Linked DNA regions of Drosophila melanogaster. The gene in region 4 interacts genetically with the main gene of each other region. Each region holds a gene or a part of one and is shown on either strand. Other genes may lie near its edges.

Region 1 (4,822 bases), 3.2 Mb from region 4:
CATATGTACGTACATATATATTGGATTCACTTTTATCTGCTGACCAGCTTTTATTTAAACCCATTTCGGTTCACAACAGATATTAATGCCTTGTGGGGCGAGCCAAAAATGAGGTTCTTGAGGCCCGAAAAAGTTTGGATCAATGTTTTTTCCGCATAAAAAATAAGCAGGCAGGCCAACACACACGCACACACACGTTCGTGGGTCGCAGGTACGTGCGGGCGTGTGGTTGTGAGTGTGTTGGCCTGGTTGAGAGTACACTTAAATAAACAATTCTGAACCAAAAACAATATTCGGCACGCACTCACCTTTGCAACAACAGTTATGAAGGTGCAGCAGCCACCCGCTCTCTCGCTGACCGCTTTGCACGCTCTCTGCCTCGCGCTCTCTTCTCGCTTTTTGGCTGCTGCAGCGCTTGATTTTTATGCACACATCAATTTTCAAACTGCGACGCCCTTTTTTCCGATTTTCTCTCTCACCTATAAAACAACAACTGCCGCACTCAGCACACACACGCACACACTCTGTTAACAACAATTTGGCTCTTCACTTTTTGTGTATTAGATTTTCCTCTTTGATTTTCCTTTCGCTCTGCGCACCTCGTGAAAAATACTGTTACTCGGCTGGACAATCAGCGATACTTGTTGTAAAGCAGCGGACGTCGCTTCTTACATTTAATTGGCTGCCCTTTCGACTTGTCTGCGCTGCCAGTTGCTGCACTTTACTTTTGTTTGACTTGACGCCTCCGTCTGCTCTTCGCCTTCGTCTTCGTTCCGCTTTATCCGACACACGACCAACCGCCGCTAAAAATCAACACAAAGTAAGTGTGGTCGACGCCTTCTTGACGAAGAAAACCAGAGTCCGAAAGTGTCAGCAGCTGGTCACACCGCCAAACGGTCCCGCTGGCTTGGAACCGTGCTGCCAGACCGTTTTCATATTTTCATATTGATATTATAATATTGATATTGATAATATAAATATTTTATTCATAGCAATCAAGCTATCATCCATAGTACACATCAGCTTTATCAGTTCTTTTTTATCTTGGTTTGATATTTTCGATGCATTTTGTTTACAACCTAAACAAATTTTTATTTCCATTGATACCACGGAAATAATTTGAAATTTAGAACTTAAAAATAAAAGGAAAAATAACTTGTAAGTTGGAATAAATAAAGCACGGTCTTTAAAGCAAGAAAGTGTTAAATATATATATTTCAATTTGAGTCTATGATTAACGCTAATTTATGCTTATGGGTCCACTTTCGATCACGAGTTGTTCACACTAATGGATACAATCGCGGAATGGGCACACTGAATATTGTTTAGCGGACAGTGGACCAAAGCCAATTCGAATCAATGGAATATCCTGATATCAGGCATATGTTAAAACTAAGTAACGGAATGGTCAATGCGTAAATTGCTTTCGTATGTGTGTTTATTTTACGCCCTTACGTCGCTAATTTCTGAATTAAATAGCTCAAAAATATTCATATGTATCATGTAAAAATTTAAAAAATCTGCAAATAGATTGCATGTATCCCGTTAAAGATAGTAAGAAGTCCAGAAAAGAGAAATGCATTCAGCGATCAATTTTGCATGGACTTACCAATGTCTTCCACAATTTTATGCTTTTATTTTTTAATCGCTTTGAATTATTTCTCAAGTAACGCAATTTTGAGAAAAATCACACCATTAAATCGTGGTGAACAATCGAATATTCGATTCCATTTTAGCGTTAGGCATTTTTCCGCCACCCGTTAGGGATTCTCCGTTTCCCTTTTGTGTTTTTGTTTCTTTCTTTCGCTGGAACATAACGGACGTGTCGTTGCGTCGTCTTCCTCGTCGCGCGCGTGTGTGTGTGGTGTATGTGTGTACTGAAACATTTTGGGGTCGTAGCAAATCGGAGAAAAATTCTTAATTATACAATACAATACTCGTGCTTGTTCTCGCAGCGAATCGAAGTGATCCAATTGTGAGATTTGGCTGCAAAGGAAGAATACGAAAAGTTAGCTAAATTACGTGAGTAGCCAGAGTGTGAGTGTGTGAGCCAGAGCGAGGCGGCAAATCAGTATGGCGTGAAAGAGCTGCAAAATGTAATTTGCTGTGAATACCTCTGTGTGTTCGTGCCTGTGTTTAGTGTGCATGTGTGCTAAAACAAATGCCTAAATTGCAACAAAGAAAATTGTATGAAATATACGAAGCGAAGAGCAGAGCGAAAGCGACGATGAAAAAGAGGCTGCTGCTTGAAAAATAAGAAGAGGTGGAGGAGCAAGAAGAAGAGCAGCAGCAGCCGTCGCGAGTTTTTTACACGCGTGTGTTAGTGTGCATACAATTGTGTATGAAAAAGAATAAAAGCTAATCTAAAGTGTCAAACGTAATCTTGTATATCTCCGTGTTTCTTGCAGCGCTTGACAACGAAATTTATATTACATAGTAAATGCGAAATACAACAAAGGTTAATCATATTGCTTAATCAGAGTACTGCGGTTTCAAACGTCTTCGTCTTCCCCATCTTCTAAACTGGAATGCAACCAACACCAAACAACCAAAACCCACAACAACAACAACAAGATCGAATGGAGTAAAACAGAAACCAAGAACCTTTAAAGAGAGCAGTGAGAGAGAGGCGTCGGCTAACGGCTAATCAATTGACAAAGCGCAAAGAGAGAGGGAGAAGAAGCAGAGCGCTGAGTGCGCGAAATGTGAGTAATATATTTTAAACCGAACGCGAAATAAGAACTTAAATCAGCGAAGAACTCTTCTGAAAATGTGTAATATTAACGGCGGTGTGTTCACTGGTCCTACTGTTTGCCTCTCCGATAAGAGCGGAAGTGTAATATTATACTCAGACGTTGTGAAAAGTCAAACGTATTTATTTATCGGTTTCCCATGTGCCGGATACTCCGCAATCTGGGCCAGTTAATTATAACGTGTGGGAAGACAGTGGGCGCTCGCCCTTAGACAAGTGTCATATAAGGGCTATAAATTTAAAGTGGATATTTTATAAGCAGTCGTTTGACAACTATGTTTATTTGCTTCAAGCTCACAAGTATTAAACGCAGTGTTTAGAACAGATTTTGCAGATTTTAAACAACGTAAAAATTTTTTTGACACGGTCACAACGTAACTTTGTGTCAAATTAATAAATATAAGATCTTAGTTTGTCAGAATGTTGTAAACATTGTTGTTTTTAAATGATTAAACTGGTTAAAAATGATTTCTCATTTTGTCTACTAATATGATTAGTAACAAGGTTTTCAACTAAAATGCTCATGTACTGACTGAATTATGATGAGAAATGGGTTGCTAATGAATAAACATTGCCATTTAAATAGTCATGCGAGTTCCAACAGGGCTCACTAATTTACCAGTGATTTCTGTGATTTTGGTTACGTCCATAAAAAGTTTTAAATGCTGTCAGTGGTAGCAAACACAATCCAATTAAAGGAACATGCAAGACCCGAAAATAGGAAAAGTGCCAAAAGCTAAGTTAGAGGGGTTTTTTCTTGTTGATTACAGGCAAAAGGATCGAAAACCAAAAACCAATTATTAACAACTAGTTGAACCGGCTAAACATTTGTATTTGTATGCATGTATGTGCATACATATGCATGTAGATTTATGCCTAGAGGGGTTTGGGAAACATGCGTGCCATTTGGCTACTTCGACCATTTATCCTGACCGCAAGTTTTCTGTCAATTAAAAGTTGTTGCAACAGCATCGACTGACTTTTGTCATTCACCTATGTAACTTTTTTTTGCTAACTCAAAAAGCGACCAAATGGGATAATAAACGAAATATGCACTAGTCAAATTCCCAATAAGCTTATCTATTTTCGAAACGATTTCGTCTCTGATTTGACTTGAAAATTTCAACGTTGTCTAAAAATGTTACGAAATAATAGCAATTAAAAACAATATTAATAGTACACGCGTATTTATTCCAAATAGTGTGTATTACAAATCACTGTTACTCTGTTAAGAAGTTACATTTCTCCCTCAGCACCCCAGTTAACTTTAAGAATTGTTTAACTCTTGCATACTTGTGTTTTTACATCTTTTTCGAGTCTCTCGGTTCACTGTACTTCGATTGTTGTTTTGGTTGCCGCTGCTGCATTGAATACACACGCACACATAGTCGCAAGTAAGAAAAACAGGCATCTTTGCTTCCCACTTTATCTCCTGAGTTTGTTGTTGTTTTACTTTGTTGTTGCCATTGCACTTCGCTCTCCACTTCGCCTACTGTTTCTTCCTCGTTTTCTAGCCCGCTTCTTGCTCCTCTTCTTCTTCCTCATGGCAGCTTTTGATGCCTGAATATGTACATATGTGGGTATGTAAAGAAGAGATACCGTTGCCAGCTCATGCTTCTGTGTATTGGTAACGTTTTTTCTGTTTGGGTGCTTTTCTTGTCTTGCTGCTTCCCTCTTATCTTCCGCTTCTCTTCCTGGTTGATTCTTCTTCTTTCATAGATTACGATGTTGCTTTTTGGCGCTGTTTCTATAGTCATCAAAAGAAAACTAATTTTTTGCTATTACAAATCAATTTCGATCGGTAGAAACTAAAAACTAAAAGCCAGCATGTGTTCAGAAAACGAATTAATATTATTTTGAAACCAGAAAACTTACTTTTCACATTGTTCGATTATAAAAATATCCTATGAACAATTTCGGTTGCCTGTGTCACGGCGTACACTCACACTAATGCGAATTGGCTGTGTATCTATGTGAGACAGAAATAGTTGCATTTTGGAGGTCTGCACTTTCATGGCGGAAACTCGAAAGCGAAACAATGCCATAAATACAACAAACACACACACACAC
Region 2 (7,663 bases), 7.3 Mb from region 4:
GGCGTTAAAATGCTACTAATAATTATAAAATGCTATTGTGCAGAGAGTTTATCCCTTTAAAATAATTCTGCGTGTTAGCAGAGTGGTTCAATAGGAAAAATGTCAATCATACTTTATTTCTATTTATAAATAAAAAAGTTGAATAATAATTTCAATCGAAGAAGTTATTTTTGGAAATAGATTGCGGCAGTTAATTACAAGTTTTGTATTATTATAAGTAGAATTCTTGAAGTTTTTTTGGGGTTTACTTGATCAACTTTGTTATGTAAGCAGTTGGACTCTTCAACTAAATGCGTGATGTGAAAAATTAAAAATGAATGTTCTGATTTCACATAAGAAATAATATTATTCGTCTCCAGTCGCGATGACTTCTGACATTTTCTTAAGCCCCTGCTCAAATGTATTATTGTAATTGCTAAGTATGGATTTTTATGCGATTGTACATACATTTTGTTGTCAAACGGGTTGAGAGTTGTTCTCATCGCATCCTTTTTACGATTTGTTAACATTTCCTTGGCCTCGACTGCGTGCCTTTTGCTTTTCTTCCAATGGCAATTGCCATAAAATTCCCATAATTGTCCATTGCAGCGTAAAATTTGGCAACTGCCTTTGGAAGTGAGACAAGGAGGGGAATCTGTAGAAGAGCCAAAAGGGAGAAAGGATGTTGAGATAGGGGTGAAAAGAGACCCGGGGTTTCCTAACAATTGGGCTGTCATAATTTGCTGACTGAACTGGCGCACGCATGTATTTGTTTAACTAATTAGCATTAATTAGTCACTGCGCTTGACGACTCGTATAATTGGTCGCGATCCATGGTCTTTATGCAGTGAGTTTTTCTGTATGTTGCTGCTGTTGTGGTAATCGATAAAAAGCGCCAACAACAAGCCAACTAACTACACACAATGTGGTGCCATCTACCACGCCTCCCCGCCCCCATTCCATCGAAATCTCGGACATAGATGGCGCTGTGGTGCGCGCGTGTTAAGTATTCAAATCAGCCCCCAGAATCGGGCAGTAAGAGCGGGCGGTGAGTCTGAGAGCGTTTTTTGTTCGTTGAAGAGCGGATGCCTTCACACGTACACTGTGCGTGTGTGTTTCGCCCTCGATGACCCCCTGTGACTTGGAGCACCTGCTGAGCTCAGCGAATTCCAGAGCCAGTCCCAGTCGAAGTGCGATACCATCTTTACCTCATTGAAGGCGCTAGTTGAAACAGTGCTATTTCCCCCAGCAACATCCAAAACTCTCTTCGGCTCCCCCCACTTACACACGCACACTCGCTGACAGTCTGGGATCCACACAGACGCTGTATACAGTGTACGTGTGCATAACGCGCCACAAGAGAGCCGCACCAACTGCCATCAACATAACATCAACCACCACCACCATCAATCTGAGTGCTTGTGCAACATGCGCATGTCCGCGCTCTCTTCCAAGTCACACGGACGGGGAGGCACACACACACACACACACACACACACACACACACACACTGGAGCGGGCTGGCGCCGCTGCGCTTAGAGTTTGTGTTCGTGTGCTGGTTCTGGTTCTGGTCTTGGTCTTGTGTTGTCGGTGTGCCGTGCCAGCGATGTGGATATGTTGTCGCCGTGCGCGTTGCTGCCGTCAGTGTAGATTTGTGCTTCGCTCTGTTCGGTTGGAAGGCGCGCGGGCGTCCAGCAGCAACAACAGCAACTACAACAACAGCCGAGGCAAGCGGCCCTGCAACTTCGTCGAGGACTGGGACTTGAACGATTTCGTACTCGCCGTCCATTCACATTCACATTCGACTGGGAGTGTTTCGTTCGAACGGTTCGAAAAATACAAGTTGAACATTTTCGAAAAATTTAACTGAAAGAAGAAACGTTTTTGGAGTCGTATAAAAAATTAAATCAAAAAACAAAAAACACAATCAAAACATCGTGTCGCCGGCGTTGTGAGGAGAAATAATAACATTTTTGTTAACTGTTGCAAACATTGCCTTTAATTGTTTGTTTTGGTCGTAAAATCAAATTTTATGACCAGCAACATAAAAAGCGAACGCCAGCAGCAGCAACAACAACGACTGCAGGCCCCACAAATAATAAACTATTTATGATAATTATAAAAGAGAGAAGAAAATCAAAAACAAACGCCAACCGAAAAAAAAAGAAAAGTGAAAAGAAAACATTAACTGACAAAGGAAAAATTGGAAAAGTTTTGGAAAATTGGATTGACCGAATGAAAACTGAAAAAAGCCAATTTGAAAATACTGCGTGAGTTGCTGACGACCGCAAGCACCCTGTGAAATTCAAGCTGATTCGATCCCCTGTGCAACAACAAAGTTACTCTCTTCGCCCGCTCTTTAGGCAGTGTGCGTGTGTGAGTAAGTCGGCGTGTGCGTGTGACCGCTGACGGACGTTTGTGTGCGTGTGCGGTACGCAAATAAAAGGGGCAAAACTCGAGTAAAGGTGCTCTGAATATTAAAAATAAAAATTATTAAGTCGCGAAAAAAATATAAAGAGACTTAAACAATTAGAAAGGCGTCACTCAGAGGAGTGAGAAAAAAAAGACAGAGAAAGGTCGGTGGGTCGAGGCGATCGACCCCACTGCACCGCCTTTATCCTCGCCGCCGCAGTTCGAGTGCAACGCGTCCAAGATAACCGTAAATATTCCACCCCTCCCCCAAACCCCAACCATCCCGCTGGCGTGCGCTCTCTACGACCCCCACGATGTCTCGGCAGTCGGGTCGCACGCCGCTGCCGGGGCGTGGTGGGGGCATCACACACACACCCACACCCACGTACCCACCGCCCCGCACCCGCATCCGCATCCCCAGGCGCATCCCTCCCTGCCCGTCATGCAGCAGCACCATCTGCAGCAGCAGCAACAGCAGCAGCAGCAGCAGGAGCAGCAGCATCTGCAGGAGCAGCAGCAGCATCTGCAGCAACTGCATCACCATGCGCACCACCACCTGCCTCAGCCTCTCCACACCACCAGCCATCACCACAGCGCGCATCCCCACCTGCAGCAGCAGCAACAGCAGCAGCAACATGCAGTCGTCGCCTCCTCACCCTCCTCGGTGCTCCAGCAGCAGCAACAGCAGTCAACTCCCACCACACATTCCACGCCCACGCATGCGGTTATGTACGAGGATCCTCCGCCTGTGCCACTTGTCGCCGTACAGCAGCAACACCTCCCCGCTCCGCAGCAGCAGCAGCAACTTCAACAGCAGCAGCAACAGCAGCAACAACAGCTGGCGACAACACCGGTGGCCGGCGCCCTCAGTCCTGCCCAAACACCCACTGGACCCTCCGCCCAACAACAGCAACATCTCACATCGCCCCACCACCAGCAACTGCCGCAGCAACAAACCCCGAACAGTGTCGCCAGCGGCGCCTCCTCGAATCTCCAGCAGCAGCAGCAACAGCAGAATGCTGCAGTTGCTCCTGGCCAGACGCAGATCGTTGCGCCGACCACGGCGAGTGTTTCTCCCTCCAGTGTTAGTTCTCAGAAGGAAGGTGAGGTCCCAGAAATATAACTTTCCTTGGGGTTGAAAACCAGCGGATTTCTTATTGGAACTCCATTGGTTATGGGCTTTCAAAGATCGTTGGGAAATATATTTTTTGAAATTTTCTACATCTGAACTGGAAAACTCTCGAAATAAATTGGGGACGTTAAATTGGGAACGGGGTCGTTCCACTTGTTTTTTTTTCCCCCCAGTTGCAATAACGTTTCAGTTGTGCTGATTGCAGCACGTTTTTCAAGGCTGATAAGGCTTTTCTTTAACTCTCCCAGGAATCGTCACGCATTTAATTTATTTACTCAAAATATTTGCGTCTGTTTTATCATTATAGACTATATAATTGCAGGGTGGTAACAACTTTAATTTTGTAAGGAAATTAAAAATTTTTAAAAATATTGTTTGTGAGTGTACTGAAGTTCTTCAAAACTGCATTGGTTTTTTTTTAAAGAGTTTACACAAAAAAAAAAATTAAACGATGATTTGAAACGTAATCGTTATGGTAACCATTTTATTACCTTAAGTGTTGACACGTGTTAAATATACAGATTTATATATAGACGAGGTGTGAATGCACCCACATCCATGACATCGACAAACAATCTAAGGGTTATAGGCACAAATGCCACGCCAAGTGATAAAATGCCAAATGATCAAGGAGGTCGATTTGATCATAGACAGTCGTTAAAATTAGACTTACCAGCCCTAGTGCCAATATTAACAGCAGCAAATCTGCGCTTATCGTTTACTTTCAGACATCAATATGTCCATACAATTAGCGCCACTGCATATACCCGCCATCCGGGCCGGTCCGGGATTCGAGACGGACACCTCGGCGGCGGTCAAGCGGCACACGGCACACTGGGCCTACAACGACGAGGGATTCAATCAGCATTACGGCTCCGGGTACTACGACCGCAAGCACATGTTCGCCTATCCTTACCCAGAAACGCAGTTTCCGGTTGGTGTAAGTATGGCCACAGCGCCACCCACGCCTCCACATCAGTTGTAAGCAACTTCGTTCCAACCCGACCTCATTTCTCCCCCGCAGCAGTACTGGGGCCCCAACTACCGCCCCGATCAGACCACCTCTGCCGCAGCGGCGGCGGCCTACATGAACGAAGCGGAGCGCCACGTGAGCGCCGCCGCCCGACAGTCCGTCGAGGGCACATCGACGTCCAGCTATGAGCCGCCCACCTACTCCTCGCCAGGCGGCCTGCGCGGCTATCCCAGCGAGAACTACTCCAGCTCAGGTGAGTCCAGACCGGCCAGAGTCGGCACACTTAAGGGTAACGAGGTTAGGCACACTGGAAATAATTTTGAGCATCTTGCAACTCTAGTTTGGGAGGAGAAATTTTAAAGATTAAAAATTAAAAATTTACTGTTTACAATTCTTAAAATTTTTAATAAAATATTTGGTTATTCATATGAAATTAAATTAAAGTGAAAAATTATACGAATTCAAAATTCTGTTTAAAAAGAGGCGTTCAAATTCCACCTAAATGTTTTTAATTGTAAAATATATATTTATAGACCGTCAAATTTTCCAATGAATCGATAATTATTTGGAAGTGTTTTTTATATGGTGCTATTATTTTTTTTCCTAAAAGCCAAGCCAATTATTTAAACAGCCCTAAAATATTAAGCATCCTACAATATAAAGTTCAAGATTATTTGATTTTCCTATGTGCACTAGACTTTTCGTCGTCGTATCGGTTGAAATAGCAAATTGCGAAACCGTCAAGTTTGTCGTTCAATTAGCGTAGTGCAAAACGGCCCATAAATCGATACTCGCTATTTGGCTAGCGTTACGCCTTTATGTGGGTGCGAAAGTCATTGGGGTTTGCATTCTATGGGGTTGCCTGTTTATGTTCGTGTCTTATCACCAGGTGTTTTTCAACTGCCAGAATTGTATCTGTCGACTAGTCATATTTTCCCAGTAGTATCCATGGTATCCATAGTAAAGACTCGTTATTATGGCGGAATATGTCAGTTAAGTGACCTCGCCAGCCAATTTTACAATTGGAATTCAGGTCTCTTAGGCTCGATAATTAATTTCCAATCTGACCTAACTGTCCTAACTGTTCAATGCTACCAAGACTAATCGAAGAAATCAGATTAGATTCGAAAAGCTCTTCACTCGTGCTGAACTAGCGTTTAAATTAAAATAAATCCAACTTGTCACTTTATTTCAACATTAATTTAATTGCTTCATTTGGTCGGCCAATGAGCGGGAACGAATGTATTCATTTAGTGTTATCCACTCGAGTGTGAATATGGGCCTCATGCCAATTCGGAGCTCCGCTCCCCGTACCGCACCAATTAAGAGGCCATAAATGAGGAATTGAATAATTTCGTATTACGCTTATTGCTAAACAATTTCCGTAATTGCTCTATAAACTTAACGATCTGATATTGCACCGAACACCGAGCAACAAAACCATCGGACCACCCGCACTTGCGGTTTAATGAAGTTAACCATGTAGTTTAACCCCATTACTTGATGATGTTTTCAGGAGCCTCTGGTGGATTATCCGTGGGAGCAGTGGGTCCTTGCACGCCCAATCCCGGACTGCACGAGTGGACCGGTCAGGTGTCCGTCCGGAAAAAGCGCAAGCCGTACTCGAAGTTCCAGACCCTGGAGCTGGAGAAGGAGTTTCTTTTCAATGCGTATGTTTCCAAGCAAAAGCGCTGGGAATTGGCCAGAAATTTGCAGCTGACCGAGCGACAGGTGAGTCCATAAACCTACTGACTTGAACTGAATTCATTAAACAGGCGTTCCTTTCAGGTCAAGATATGGTTCCAGAATCGGCGCATGAAGAACAAGAAGAACTCACAGCGCCAGGCCAATCAGCAGAACAACAACAACAATTCGAGCAGCAACCACAACCACGCGCAGGCGACCCAGCAGCACCACAGCGGCCACCACCTGAACCTTAGCCTGAACATGGGTCACCATGCCGCCAAGATGCACCAGTGACCCTTGGACAACAGCAGCGCTGGCGCCATGGGCTTTGCCACCTACTAGCAGTTAGCCAATCCGAGTTCGGGTAACCCCAGCTCGAATCCCAACCCCATGTCCGATCCGAATCACCATCATCTAATCAAGAACGAGCTGGCCATGGACTTTCCATGCTAGTCCAGCGATTGGAAGGGCGATTCCAGCCAGGCCGAGTTCAGTCGGTTAAATGTACAAAAACCAGAGATCTCTAGCATGCGGGATAGGAATATGTGACCACAATGAGGAGCAAGGATGTGGATGAGCAACTGCCCAGAAGTGCGCAGGCGTCGCTGATGTGTGACCAACCGACGTTGATGCAAATGCAGTTTATTATTAAGTCAGTTCTACGGATCCCAGAGATCCAAGCCCCAACACGATAATGCAGCTTAGTTCGGTAGTTGAATATAGATACGAGTAAGATGAAGAGTAAGCAGCAGCAGTAGCAGATGCACTTGAAATTCGCAACTGTACGAAAATATATGTATGTACGTATTTCTCTCAACGCTCTCATTAGCCTAGGCGAGCACTATGAATTTTCCGAACTATAAATTATGAATATGAATATACTTAAACGTCAGTGAATATAACCCCGCATAAATTATGAATACACGCGTTCGAGTAGTAGATTTTACCATACCTATCCAATTAAGAGCGGCCACAAGGCGGCTGAGTTAGGCTGAGCAGCAGAACACATTTTAGACCCAGATAAATGTTCTTGAAACACAAATTGAAATTGTTTAACAATTTTCGGACCCCTCACAGCTCCGCAAACAAGAAGACACACTCCGCAGTCTAGGATAAATTTTGTCGTATAATGTTCGTCGTGTCGTGTCCTTTGATACCTTCTAAGTTCCTGTATATAAACTAAGACATTGCGCTGATTTCCGGCCGAAGCGAGCACTCGATAACTAAATTACATCAGATATATGTATATGTATATTGCGTACACGCAGAGATATTCAATATTTGTATAATATGAACTCGGATTCGATTTTAGCAAATGGTTAATTGTAAGTTGCAAAAATTTCAATGAGTGTGTGCATGTTTACCCCATAGTTGAAGTCGCTTTCGAATTAAATTAACTCTTAAACCAAGGAAAACACTTAACAAAACTACTCGTAAAGCTAAAGCAACAAAAACTTAAAAGATACACACTTAACAGAAGT
Region 3 (4,832 bases), on a different chromosome or scaffold from region 4:
GCAAAATGAATTCTAAATATTTGAAATTGTATATGGAAGGTATTCTATAATATTTTGGCATAAGTATATATATTTAGATTTGACCGATTAACTCAAATGATTCAGCCTCGTGACACGAAAAGTTCCACCCGCCACTCAATCCGCAGTGCAAGTAACTAAGCAAATGCGATATGTGTGTGCTTAAATGCATATAGCATGTTTATGGGTCTGCCGAATGGGGTTTTTCGAATGGAGTAGGGTGCGTTTGTGGGTTTTGTGGCGGGGGGAAAGGGGGGATGGGTATTTCGGTGGCCTATGTGCGCCTATAATTATAAGGCATATACACTATATACATATGTACATGGGCATAGCATAGCTGCGTGTTTTTCGTCGGGTAAATAGGTGCACACGTCAATTGCTGGAACGACCTCAATGGGTTCCCACTTCCAGGCCCCCCCTTCCACGGCCCACATTCGTTTGATTTTTCCGCACTGGAAAGTGGGAAAACCGGAGCAATTATTTCCCGATCCGATCATGCTACAATTATGTATGTTTAATTTTTTTTTTTTGCTGCTGATGTTGTGTTTCACTATTCACCATTCCATTGCCGTGGAGCTAGAACATGCAATTATTTTAATGTATTCGGCCTTGGGACTCATGAATGTCAATTGGCACGTAAGTTCTCCATTAGCTATTAGCTTTTACCCGCGGCTCCACGCATCCAAATGCAAATCTCTATATGTATATATAGATATGTACCTAAATGTGTACATACAAACTCATATGGTTTACGCTGCAAATCAGTCGTTTTGTATGCTAGCTTCGTTTTTTTTATGGTTTTTTATGGGGGCTAGGCGACTCCCACCCACTCGCACATATTTATACAAATTGAGACAGCGGAAAAAGTGCAACTCATTTGAATGGTTTCGCCTTCATTATGCAAATACGAGCACTGTTGGTGGCGAATATTTATTTGCTCATTATAAATACATAGAGTTTCTGGCATTTTAGCAATCATGACTTGCACGCACACGAGCATTAAACGAGTTTCTAAAATTCAGTGTAATGATCGAGTTTTATGGGACTATTGCATTCGAATTTGAACTGAGTGGGCGCCAACATATCGATAATATATAATGACAGTCGATATTTTCATAGCAACCAGCTTTCGCTGGGCTCGCTGCGCAACTAGGTGGCAGCTCTGAAATGTATATTACATGTAAGAAATCCTTTTACAAACTCAATAAATAATAATAAATGCTTGAAATAAATGTATATTTCAATACTTCTAAAGCATTTTATATATTATGTTTTTATTGGTATTACGGAAAACCTCCAACTTTCAATTTTAAAGCATTATATTTATAAATAAAATAATTCTACAAGCAAAAAAACTCATTTAATCCTGGAAGCACTTATGGATTTCACATTATAAAAGAACTGATTAAATGTATGAAGATACATCATTTTATTAACGTACATTTTGTAATATTTAATTTTTTGAATTTTCAGTTTCTGCGCGCCCATATCAAAGTCCGTAGCAAAAAAATCAATATAGGAAATGCAATAGGTGCAAGCGGGACGACCAGCTGAATCGAGCGGCGAAGCAAAGAAGACCCGATAAGGCGATGCCACCTAGTTAGAAACTAATAAGTAGTTGCATAAATAATACAGTTTTTTACACAATAGAAAATCCAAATGAGTTCTCACTCAATTTTAAAGCAAGTTATCTACTATTTGGAAACACTACCCAAGTAGTTTTCAGCCTTTGAGCACCTTTTGCTACATTTTAGCACCTTGCGGCGATCTGGCAGCGCCACACGAAAATGGCGAACACGAGCACTCCGATGAACGACGAGCTGAAAAAATAATTATTATTTTAAATTCCGTTTTGCCAGCGAAATTCGGTGCGTGCGCGAAAAAGAGTGCGGAAAAGCGCGGTTGAGAAATTTAATCGGCCCATTATGAAGCGGTCAAAGTGCGGCGCCAATGCAAATGGTTAGCCAAATGGCAAGAAATATGTAGCGATAGCGTGCCAGCCCAGTAAAATCAAATAGAATCAAATTTAAGTTTCTTGCTTTGCGAATTATGAAAAACCAATCGCAATGCGTGTGTGTGTGTGTACGTGTGGTGCGTGCGCGCGTGTGTTAGTGAGCGAGCGTAGAAGCAGAAGGCGTAGCGAGAAATAAAAATAAAAAACCATACAATAATTGATTTAAAAAAAAGAAAAGCAAAAAGGCCAACAAACGAAAAACAGCAGAAGCAACAAAAACACACGACAAGCGGCAGCAAAAACAACAACACAAAACTGGCGGTAAATACGCATACAGTACGATACAAAAAAATAAACTAGAAGCAACAACAAATACGCAACGTAACGGGAACTCTTTGACGTATTTCCTCTATTATTATGCAAAAAGGCAGGCGGCAAATTGCAGCAGCAGCGAAAATCAAATATAAATAGCGAAAAGGTAAGGACAGAGGCCCCACAAACTAAACTAAAAATAAGAGCCGAACATATTTGTTGTTTGCAGAGTGCAGTAAAATGGGTGCAAATAAATGGGCAAAAGAAAGAAGCAACAAAATACTGCAAACCTTTCAATTGGCTTCAATTGGCAAATGTAATTGTTCAGCATTACATTTGCATTACACCGCTCACCAACTCTTGCTCCCTCTCACTCTCTCTCTCACTGTGTTCTCCGCTTTTGCGCTCCCTTTGCCCCTTTTACTTTGCAAAGTTTTGCGACGAACAAGAACAATAATAATCAAAACAAAAATGTTTAAAATCCATTTTCTTTCGCCTCTCCTTCACCCACTCACTCATTTCGTAGCGCGCTGTCATTTGTCTTGCGCCTTTGCCTCCCCCCCTCTTCTTCTTCTTCTTCTACTTTACGTTGTCCCCTTCTTCTCTCTCTCCCCGCAACATTGCCGTCTCGCTCGCTCGCATGCACACCATGCACGGGTGAAGAGGAGACGTAACGAAAACGAAGTTGGTTTGCCTGGAATGCCACAGTGGGTACAAAAGGGTTTGATAGTGGTCACAGTCGACACAGTGGGGTGGGTATTTCATTATTCTGCAACAGAAACTCTTGTTATTCTTATTAAGTCAAGCAAAACTAGCAAAAATAAACATTTCTAGCCGGCTAAAAAAAAACTCAAAATCCAATCCAAAATCCAATAAATATTTAGTACAAAGTGCAAGATTGCTAATAAAATAAACCAAAAGTATAGCACTTACTTTTTGTAGGAGATGAAGGTTGTTAAAAGCATTCATATATAATTAATACGAATAAATTTATTTTATTTAAGTTCTAAATTATACGTACTTATCATTTTATATAAAGATTTACATTGCCTTATGCAGTGATGTTACAATCATCAATGTAGATCTTATAAGAATCAATAGGCCGTCCGTAGGTCGGGTAGGGTGTAGAAACATAAAGTGCAGTGAGGAAATATTAAAGGGCAAGAAAAAGTGAAAAAGCAATAGCACAAACATACAAAAAACACGAACACACATTATCCATTTGCCAAATAAACATGCACAAAGTAAGAGAAAGACGGGGAAAATGCAGAAGAAGAGGCTCCAAAAGGCGGCAAATCGCTGCATGTGTGTGTGTGAGCGAGAAGGCAACAATGGGACGAACAATATAAAAAAAAAAAAACGTGGAATTGGTCTAGTAATGTAAGAAGAAGAGCAGTAACAACGCGGACGAACGGACCGCATAATGCGCGTTTAATGATAAGTCTCTCTGTCCGAAACGAAGAGAGAGACATGGAGAGAGCGCGGCTGAGAGGCCCGCCGATTTTCGAGTGGGTGGCAACACCTAGTCTTCCTCTTTCTTTCACACCTTTTCTTGCCGCCGTTTTGTTTTGATTGCGAGTCTTCTGCGAAATGAAATGCAAATACAGTGGAGCAGCCTTAAGCTCGTAAACTTTTACATATACAATAAATGCAAATAATTTAAAATAAAACAAGTTTGGAAAATGCAACTATAAATTTTCTTATTATTTTTCTTAATTTGACTTCGAAATTTGTAAACAAAGATAGATTTCGAATAAATCAAATCAAAAACATCTCTTTGAGTATCCACTGTGGCAACTGTAACTTTGTAATAAAGAAATCCCTTGAAAATCTGACTTATTGTTCGGCATAAAATTGTGGTTGCATTTTAGCCTCCGCATTGGAAGTTGCAAGCAAAAGTTGGCATCTCCTCTCTGTCCGCCTCTTCGTCGCTCCATTGCCTCCCATTTTATTTGCACGGCAAGTTGCCTCCTCGAGCATCCTTTCAGCATTCCTATTATTCTTTTTTATGTTCCTTCCTTTTTTTTTTTGACAATGCCCCAACTAGCAAAAACAACTTGCAGGCACCAATACGTGCCATTGAAAACGAGAAAGGGAATTTAATCCGAAAAACACTGATTTCAGATACTCTAACTGCTACTTGGGGATTTTGTTTGAATGTTAATTAATTTAAAAACTAGTAGTAAATGGAAAAATGTAGTGTAAAAAGAGCGTTTTATTTGAAAATACCATTTATTTTGTTGTAAACATGTGACCATACTATGATACCCTTTTAAAAGGGCATACAAAAATGAAGTTTCACTGAAAACTGGTTTCAGTTTCGGTTTTCTTCCTTCTGGCCTGGCCCAACATTTTACATGAAAATGTGCAAAACAAAACCATTCCGGCGGTGCTAAAAACCACGCGACATGACCAGCACTAAATAAAGTTAAAATAGTAACTATTCGTTGAGCTCATAAGCTTTAAAAAAAAAGGTAACTTATGTTCGAAAATAAAACAAAATAAATTAGCTTGAATGGAATGTTCATTCATATACAAGTAATTTTGA
Region 4 (6,668 bases):
TTGCTTGGAACACGTGTCTTCGCCTTTTATGTATGCAGAATGTGCATGCGTCGGCTTGTAATTAAGCACGTAGGCAAACGCCTCCATTTCCTGCCCAGCAGGATGCTTTATGGCTGATTGAATTCCGTCAAAATGCCACTCCCGCCAATTTATACGTGCTTTTATGCGAGCTGTAATGCTGTTTTGGTAGTGCGAGGCAATTTTAATTTACTTTTAATTTTTAATAGAGCAACTAGTAAAGTCTAGCTACTTGCCTGATTACTTTTGCTTAGGGATTCAAGAAGGAAAGGATATCCATAAGGGTGTAAGATGCAACCTTGTACTTGGTTCTGTACACCCATTAATGAATATGCTTATTAAGTTCAATCCCCACTCCAGTGCCCACTCGGAGCCAGAAATTTCTTTTGTCCAATTTGCGTAACAAGTCAATGACTCAAGAACTCGTCTCTGGACACCCCTTTTTCTAATAGCCCATCAAGGATTTGACAGGCGACTAAACGGTAAACGGGCATTTAATGAGGAGCAGAAAAGGCAGCCGCCTCATTTCATCCAATTATCCTTGTTATGGGCAGCCGATGGTCCCATCCAATTATGCGCGATTTGACGATTGTGTGAGTGTCAGGGAACTTGGTTTCGGTCAAGTTTAATCATTAATAATTAGGAATGTCTTTATTGATTATTAAAGAGGGACATCACGCCGCCTTCAAAACATTCAATTAACAGTGTTATCAAGTTTTTCGACCGCAATATTTGGCTTCCAGTTGGTTATCTTTGAAACGCGACTAAGTGAGCGGATTATTCTTTGAAGCACATCAATTAAATCAAGTTACGGACCATTTAGGCAAAGCGAACAAAAATCAAACAGCAGCAGAAGTTAGCCAAAAAGTTTGACCAATATACATTTCGGCTAATCCCAGAAAAGTTTTTCCAACTTGTTTCATCTTTGAGCCGCTTTCGACTTACTGAATTTACTGCAAACGAAACACACTTATGTAATTTCTAGTAATTTGCTAGACTTCTTGACATTTGCGACGCTCTTCAGCAAATAAAATTAACGAAAGGTAAGCAAGTAATATTAATTTGCTTGACCTAATAAAGCCTTAGGCCAATCGTATAAGCCATTATTTTGATAGTAACATATTTTTGTATTTCAGTATTGATTGTTTCATGGTTTTGGTAATTACGAAAACCGCTTTCCTATGTTATACATGATTTTATTAAAATATCAAAACTTTCCCTTGTTCAACCCATTTTCCACTATCTGAACCGCTTTATTGCGAATTTCTCCCAGTTCAATGGAAATGTTTACATACCAGAGCGTTCTATAAATTGGTAGATATTAGTTTTGTTGACTAACCCATTTTTTTTTTTTTGATTTTCGGCTGATGTGTGCCGTGCGCTTTCAAATTTACAGACTTTTTATATTATTCACCAATTTACGCCCACTTGATGCTGTGCAAATTTGATTCACGAGCGTTTTGTTAGTTTTACTGGGAAATACTATGAGCTGATATTAAAACGTAGGAATTCGGTTATAAGTTTATATTCTCAAAACCAAAACGGTTCAGTTTACTAGACTAAATAGTTTTTACATTACGCTGTACAATTTTTGACAGGAAATCCAAATTTCTTTTCTATAATAAGGGCTTACGTTTTTAAAAATGACAAATATTTATTTATATTAGCAGTTAAATTAAATACAACATTGTGGTAAAAGTATTGAGCATTATCTACTTTGCTCTTTAAATTGACTATTTATTGTCAGTTATGTGATTTCCCATTTAACGTTATTTTAAAATTGCATTTAGTTGCTTCGATAACATTTTTCGATTAGTCACATTAGTTGATTATTTTCATCGCTTCGTGAGCTGTCACAGGTAAGCAACTATCGATATGCGCAAAGATCTGAATGTCACCACTAGAAAAACAAATATGGCGGAACCGAGCGTAAAAGTAAAAAAAGTCTAACATTTTGGAGTTTAAGCGACTCAAAATCATCTAATTTCGGATTGAAACCGAGTAACAAGATCCGCGCAGCGCTCTAAATATAAAGCTCGATATTTGGTGAACCAGAAACTAATTGTGCGGCTCGCGTTTGTTTTCGTTGGGTGATGCGATGCGATTTGGCCACCAATTTGTTATTACGTGACCTCAAGAACGCCGCAAAATTTCGCCAGGCCAAATCGAAAGAAATCGGAAAGTTAGTGCTGCAAAACAAAACTTGCTATTGGTGGCTAATGATTCAAGGCAGCCGCAATGCGATTTGACCGCCGGATCGGAACACACGAAATCGAAATCGCCTGAGATGCCAAGGGGCTTGCCGGCGCGAATCAGCAAGTGCGACTACTAGGACAGCCACGCGAGAAACCATGTCGGGCGGACGTGATAGCAGTACCAGTAGCGGGAGCAATTCTGCTGCGCCAGGGGCCAGTACGAATGCCACCTCCTCCGCATCCGCATCCGCCTCCTCCACATCCACATCCGCATCCCCTGGAAGTACAACATCGCCCGCGTCCACGCAACGGCAACGAGGTAGACCGGCCAAACGAGCCACATGCACCTGGTGCGGCGAGGGCAAGCTACCGCTGCAGTACGTCCTGCCCACGCAGACCGGCAAGAAGGAGTTCTGCTCGGAAACATGCATTGCCGAGTTCCGCAAGGCGTACAGCAAGGGGGCGTGCACCCAGTGCGACAACGTCATCCGCGATGGGGCGCCCAACAAGGAGTTCTGCTCGATCATGTGCATGAACAAGCACCAGAAGAAGAACTGCTCGACCAGGCACAGCGGCGGATCGGCATCGGGCAAGGGTCTGGCGGAAAGCGAGCGCAAGTTGCTGGCCAGTGGAGCGCCCGCACCAACGGGGCCCTTTCAATACGAGAGCTTCCACGTCTTCGACTGGGATGCCTATCTAGAGGTAAGTCAAGCTGGGATAATGCTTTAACCCCCAATCTCATACTTTTTGTGGTTTCCAGGAAACGGGTAGCGAAGCTGCTCCTGCAAAATGTTTCAAACAGGCTCAGAATCCTCCCAACAATGATTTTAAAATCGGAATGAAGCTGGAGGCTTTGGATCCGCGCAACGTCACTTCCACCTGCATTGCCACCGTGGTCGGAGTGCTTGGCTCCAGACTGCGGCTACGCCTGGATGGAAGTGACTCCCAGAATGACTTTTGGCGGCTGGTCGATTCTACGGAGATCCATGCTATTGGACACTGTGAAAAGAACGGTGGCATGCTGCAGCCGCCTCTGGGATTCCGCATGAACGCATCCAGCTGGCCCGGCTATCTGTGCAAGATCCTCAACAATGCCATGGTGGCGCCAGAAGAGATCTTCCAGCCAGAGCCGCCAGAGCCAGAAGAAAACCTGTTCAAGGTGGGCCAGAAACTCGAGGCTGTCGACAAGAAGAACCCGCAGCTCATCTGCTGTGCAACAGTAGATGCAATCAAGGATGATCAGATCCATGTAACATTCGATGGTTGGCGAGGGGCATTCGACTACTGGTGCAATTACCGATCGCGTGACATTTTTCCCGCCGGCTGGTGCGCTAGAAGTTGTCATCCCATGCAGCCACCGGGCCATAAATCGCGCATGGACTCCAGCTCTAGCAAACAGCGATGCCCTCGACCCCGCTACACTGTTGTAGCTGAGTCCGAGGCTATGGTTCCCGCTTCCCCTGCCACAGCCCACTTCCATCCGAACTGCAAGGGCGGTCCGTTCATCAACAATTCCAAACTGCCCTGCATGGTGACGGGACCCACCTACCAAACGCTGGCCAAGCTTTGCCTGCAGGAGGTTTTAGCTGCCAGCACGGATACGCAACAGCTCTCAAAGTTGCTGTTTGCCCTGGAAGGAGATGTTCATATCGTGACGGCAGCGGGGAAAAATTTCACAGTGAGTTCAAGATCAATTAAATTCAATGAAAAGCATGTTTAAAATATACTCTTCGTTTCTTAAAGGTAAAAATACCATCGCCAATGCGAATGAAGGATGACGAAAGCCTCGCCCAATTCATCGAAACGCTGTGCACTACATGCCGGGCATGTGCGAATCTCATTTCCTTGGTCCACGAGACGGAGGAGTGCAAGAAGTGCGCCAATAGTCGGAAGCGTCAACTGACTCAGTCAGCCACACCGCCTTCCTCGCCAGTGCTCGCCGACAAGCGAAACCGTCAATCCAACTCGGCAACGACATCACCCTCTGAGAAGATTATCAAGCAGGAATTGGCTGTCAAATCGCCAGTGGAGTCCAAGTCGAAAACTTCGACGAACAATGGCAAGGAGCCTGCAAGCCAGCAAAACAGCAATCACAGTCTCAACAATAACAACAACAGTGCCAGCAAGTCCAGCAACAAGGTGGTCATCAAATCGGAGCCCAACGGAGCGAACGCGCAGACTTCCTCCACAACGCAGGCTCTGCGCAAAGTACGCTTCCAACACCACGCAAACACGAATACGAATAGCTCTGCGACAAACGGAAACCAGGATACGAGCCAGACCACGCACGTATCTACCAGCCATTGCAGCAGCTCGTCAACGTCGTCCAGCACGAGCCTAGCCGGAGGATCGGCGAACACCAGCACAATTGGCAAATACCTGGCACCTCTTGTGGCAGAAGTTCATCCAGAGCAGGCCAATGTAAAGCCCTCGAATAGCTACTACAAGAGTCCGACGACGCTCTCGTCAAGCGCCTCGTTGCCGACATCCGTGTCCACGCCGTTCACGGGCTGCCAGTCAGCCTCGTCCACTGCACTGGCTGCAGGTGGAGTTACAGCGGCTAAGGCGGCCACCGCGCCGGCTGGAGCAGCGGCAACTGCGGGAGCTTCTCCGAGCTACACCGCGATTACCTCACCCGTGAGCACGCCCACTTCTGCTTTGGCAAACTCACATCTGCGGTCGCAGCCGATCGACTGGACCATCGAAGAGGTGATCCAGTACATCGAGAGCAACGACAACTCCCTTGCAGTTCATGGTGATCTCTTCCGAAAGCACGTAAGTAGTAGCTATTACCAATTACCTTAAATAAAGTAACTTATCTAATTTTCGTCTGTAGGAAATCGATGGTAAAGCTTTATTATTGCTAAATTCAGAGATGATGATGAAGTACATGGGCCTGAAGCTAGGACCAGCCTTAAAAATCTGCAATTTAGTCAATAAGGTCAATGGTCGTCGAAATAATCTGGCACTCTAAACAGAAAAACATTAAGTTTCAGGCAGCGGACTCGGTTCGGGTTTGACTTATATAGAAATTGTTAACAAATTAGTACCTCCCTTTAACGTAAAGCAAAGCAAACATGAACGATATTCATAGATGTGTTATGTGTTGGCCATTCATGAAGAAAAAACCCCTACCCTATTTTATTATATTGATAATATAAAACACGCTATAACAAATGTAATCGCGAAGACATGAAATTCCCTATACAAAATCAATCGCATAACAAATTATACACAGTCAAGCTCCGGTTTTCAAAACCATTATTATTAATTTTTTTCCAACTGCTCGTGATTCTTTTTTTGGAATACACATTTACAAATTGATTTATTTAGACAAAATTATTATACTTGAATTAGGAATTTTTATAGGTTTATTCAAATTTACCCAGTCAAAGGAGTGGAGTATTCGTACACACACAATAATTAGTTTATCCATCTATTTCGAAAAATGTGAAATAGTTCTCAATTGGACACAAAATGATTCGACTTTTTCGAAAACTGGAGCTCGGCTACCAAAATCGCAATGCACATACATTATATTTATTACACATAAAAACACGCACATTAGACACCAAAATCTATCCGACACAAAAGAAATGATAATTAACTTTAGAATAGGCGAGAAAATAAAAACCAATATTAAATGATTGTACATATTTTACATCTAATTTTGTAATTATGTATCAATTGCGTTTCCTAACTATAACAATATTTAATTAGTCATTAAACAGGTTGAAGATTTAATTTCTATTAAGTTATTGAAATTGAATATCAGTTTTTAGTTAATTATTCACATGCAGTTAAGGTCATTTTTGCATATAAGAAACGCTTCCTTTCAAAGTTTTGCAATATATGCGATATATAAATGAGAGTAACATTCGGTCGTGTAAAATATTGCAATAAGTCTCATTATGTTAACCCAGCATCCACTTACAAATACAAAAATTAAATAGAGCCAACTGTATATATCATTACGTAATAAACATTACAATTTGTTCTATTTTCAACAGTAAAATAACTGAAAGATGGTAGTCGGATTGGAAGGAAAATACTCAGGCTACAAAAATTCGACTAAAAATGAATCATTGCAAGAGTCAGCATTTGTTGAAAATATCCAAGAATTTAAGAAGCGATGATAAACAAGTCATATTATTATCATATTTATTTTTAACAAACAGATACACACGAATCTTTCCGCAACCTGGTCATTCGTAAAAGTGCTTCTGCACCCATCGAGGCAAGGCAAAGGCGGCGGAGTGAACCTCGGAGGAGTAGTACCTTAGGTCTATAGAATCGATTTCGGACTTTCCAAGCTTGGGAGTAGCGAAGTCCTGGTTTTTGTTCAGGGAGCCCATGACGAAGCCAATGTGGCCGCAGGGATAGGACGGAACGGAGGTGACGGCATAGGCCACCTTAGCAAAGTGCTCCTTGCAGCCGGACATGGTCTTCTTGATG

What was found.
Region 1: of Scm (region 4) and gpp, changing one enhances a phenotype caused by changing the other (phenotypic enhancement), as found in Drosophila melanogaster (one study listed by BioGRID).
Region 2: of Scm (region 4) and Abd-B, changing one enhances a phenotype caused by changing the other (phenotypic enhancement), as found in Drosophila melanogaster (one study listed by BioGRID).
Region 3: of Scm (region 4) and psq, changing one enhances a phenotype caused by changing the other (phenotypic enhancement), as found in Drosophila melanogaster (one study listed by BioGRID).

Annotation. Positions count from the first base shown.
Region 1 is NT_033777.3:6,405,070-6,409,891, forward strand, and holds the start of gpp (grappa), read left to right. Parts: upstream 1-1,787; 5' UTR 1,788-2,022; exon of another isoform or gene 2,023-2,408; 5' UTR 2,409-2,705; intron 2,706-3,908; exon of another isoform or gene 3,909-4,509; intron 4,510-4,822. UniProt on the Drosophila melanogaster protein: Histone methyltransferase. Methylates 'Lys-79' of histone H3. Required for Polycomb Group (PcG) and trithorax Group (trxG) maintenance of expression. Also involved in telomeric silencing but do not in centric heterochromatin.
Region 2 is NT_033777.3:16,928,202-16,935,864, reverse strand, and holds the start of Abd-B (abdominal B), read left to right. Parts: upstream 1-1,622; 5' UTR 1,623-2,833; coding exon 2,834-3,494; intron 3,495-4,251; coding exon 4,252-4,463; intron 4,464-4,547; coding exon 4,548-4,749; intron 4,750-6,012; coding exon 6,013-6,227; intron 6,228-6,284; coding exon 6,285-6,476; coding exon of another isoform or gene 6,477-6,635; 3' UTR 6,636-7,663. UniProt on the Drosophila melanogaster protein: Sequence-specific transcription factor which is part of a developmental regulatory system that provides cells with specific positional identities on the anterior-posterior axis.
Region 3 is NT_033778.4:10,556,084-10,560,915, forward strand, and holds the start of psq (pipsqueak), read left to right. Parts: upstream 1-1,804; 5' UTR 1,805-2,293; exon of another isoform or gene 2,294-2,450; intron 2,451-4,832.
Region 4 is NT_033777.3:9,632,857-9,639,524, reverse strand, and holds Scm (Sex comb on midleg), read left to right. Parts: upstream 1-1,913; 5' UTR 1,914-2,369; coding exon 2,370-2,915; intron 2,916-2,973; coding exon 2,974-3,891; intron 3,892-3,956; coding exon 3,957-4,988; intron 4,989-5,049; coding exon 5,050-5,187; 3' UTR 5,188-6,166; downstream 6,167-6,668. Other genes in the region: SpdS (spermidine synthase), read right to left, coding at 6,419-6,668. UniProt on the Drosophila melanogaster protein: Polycomb group (PcG) protein. PcG proteins act by forming multiprotein complexes, which are required to maintain the transcriptionally repressive state of homeotic genes throughout development.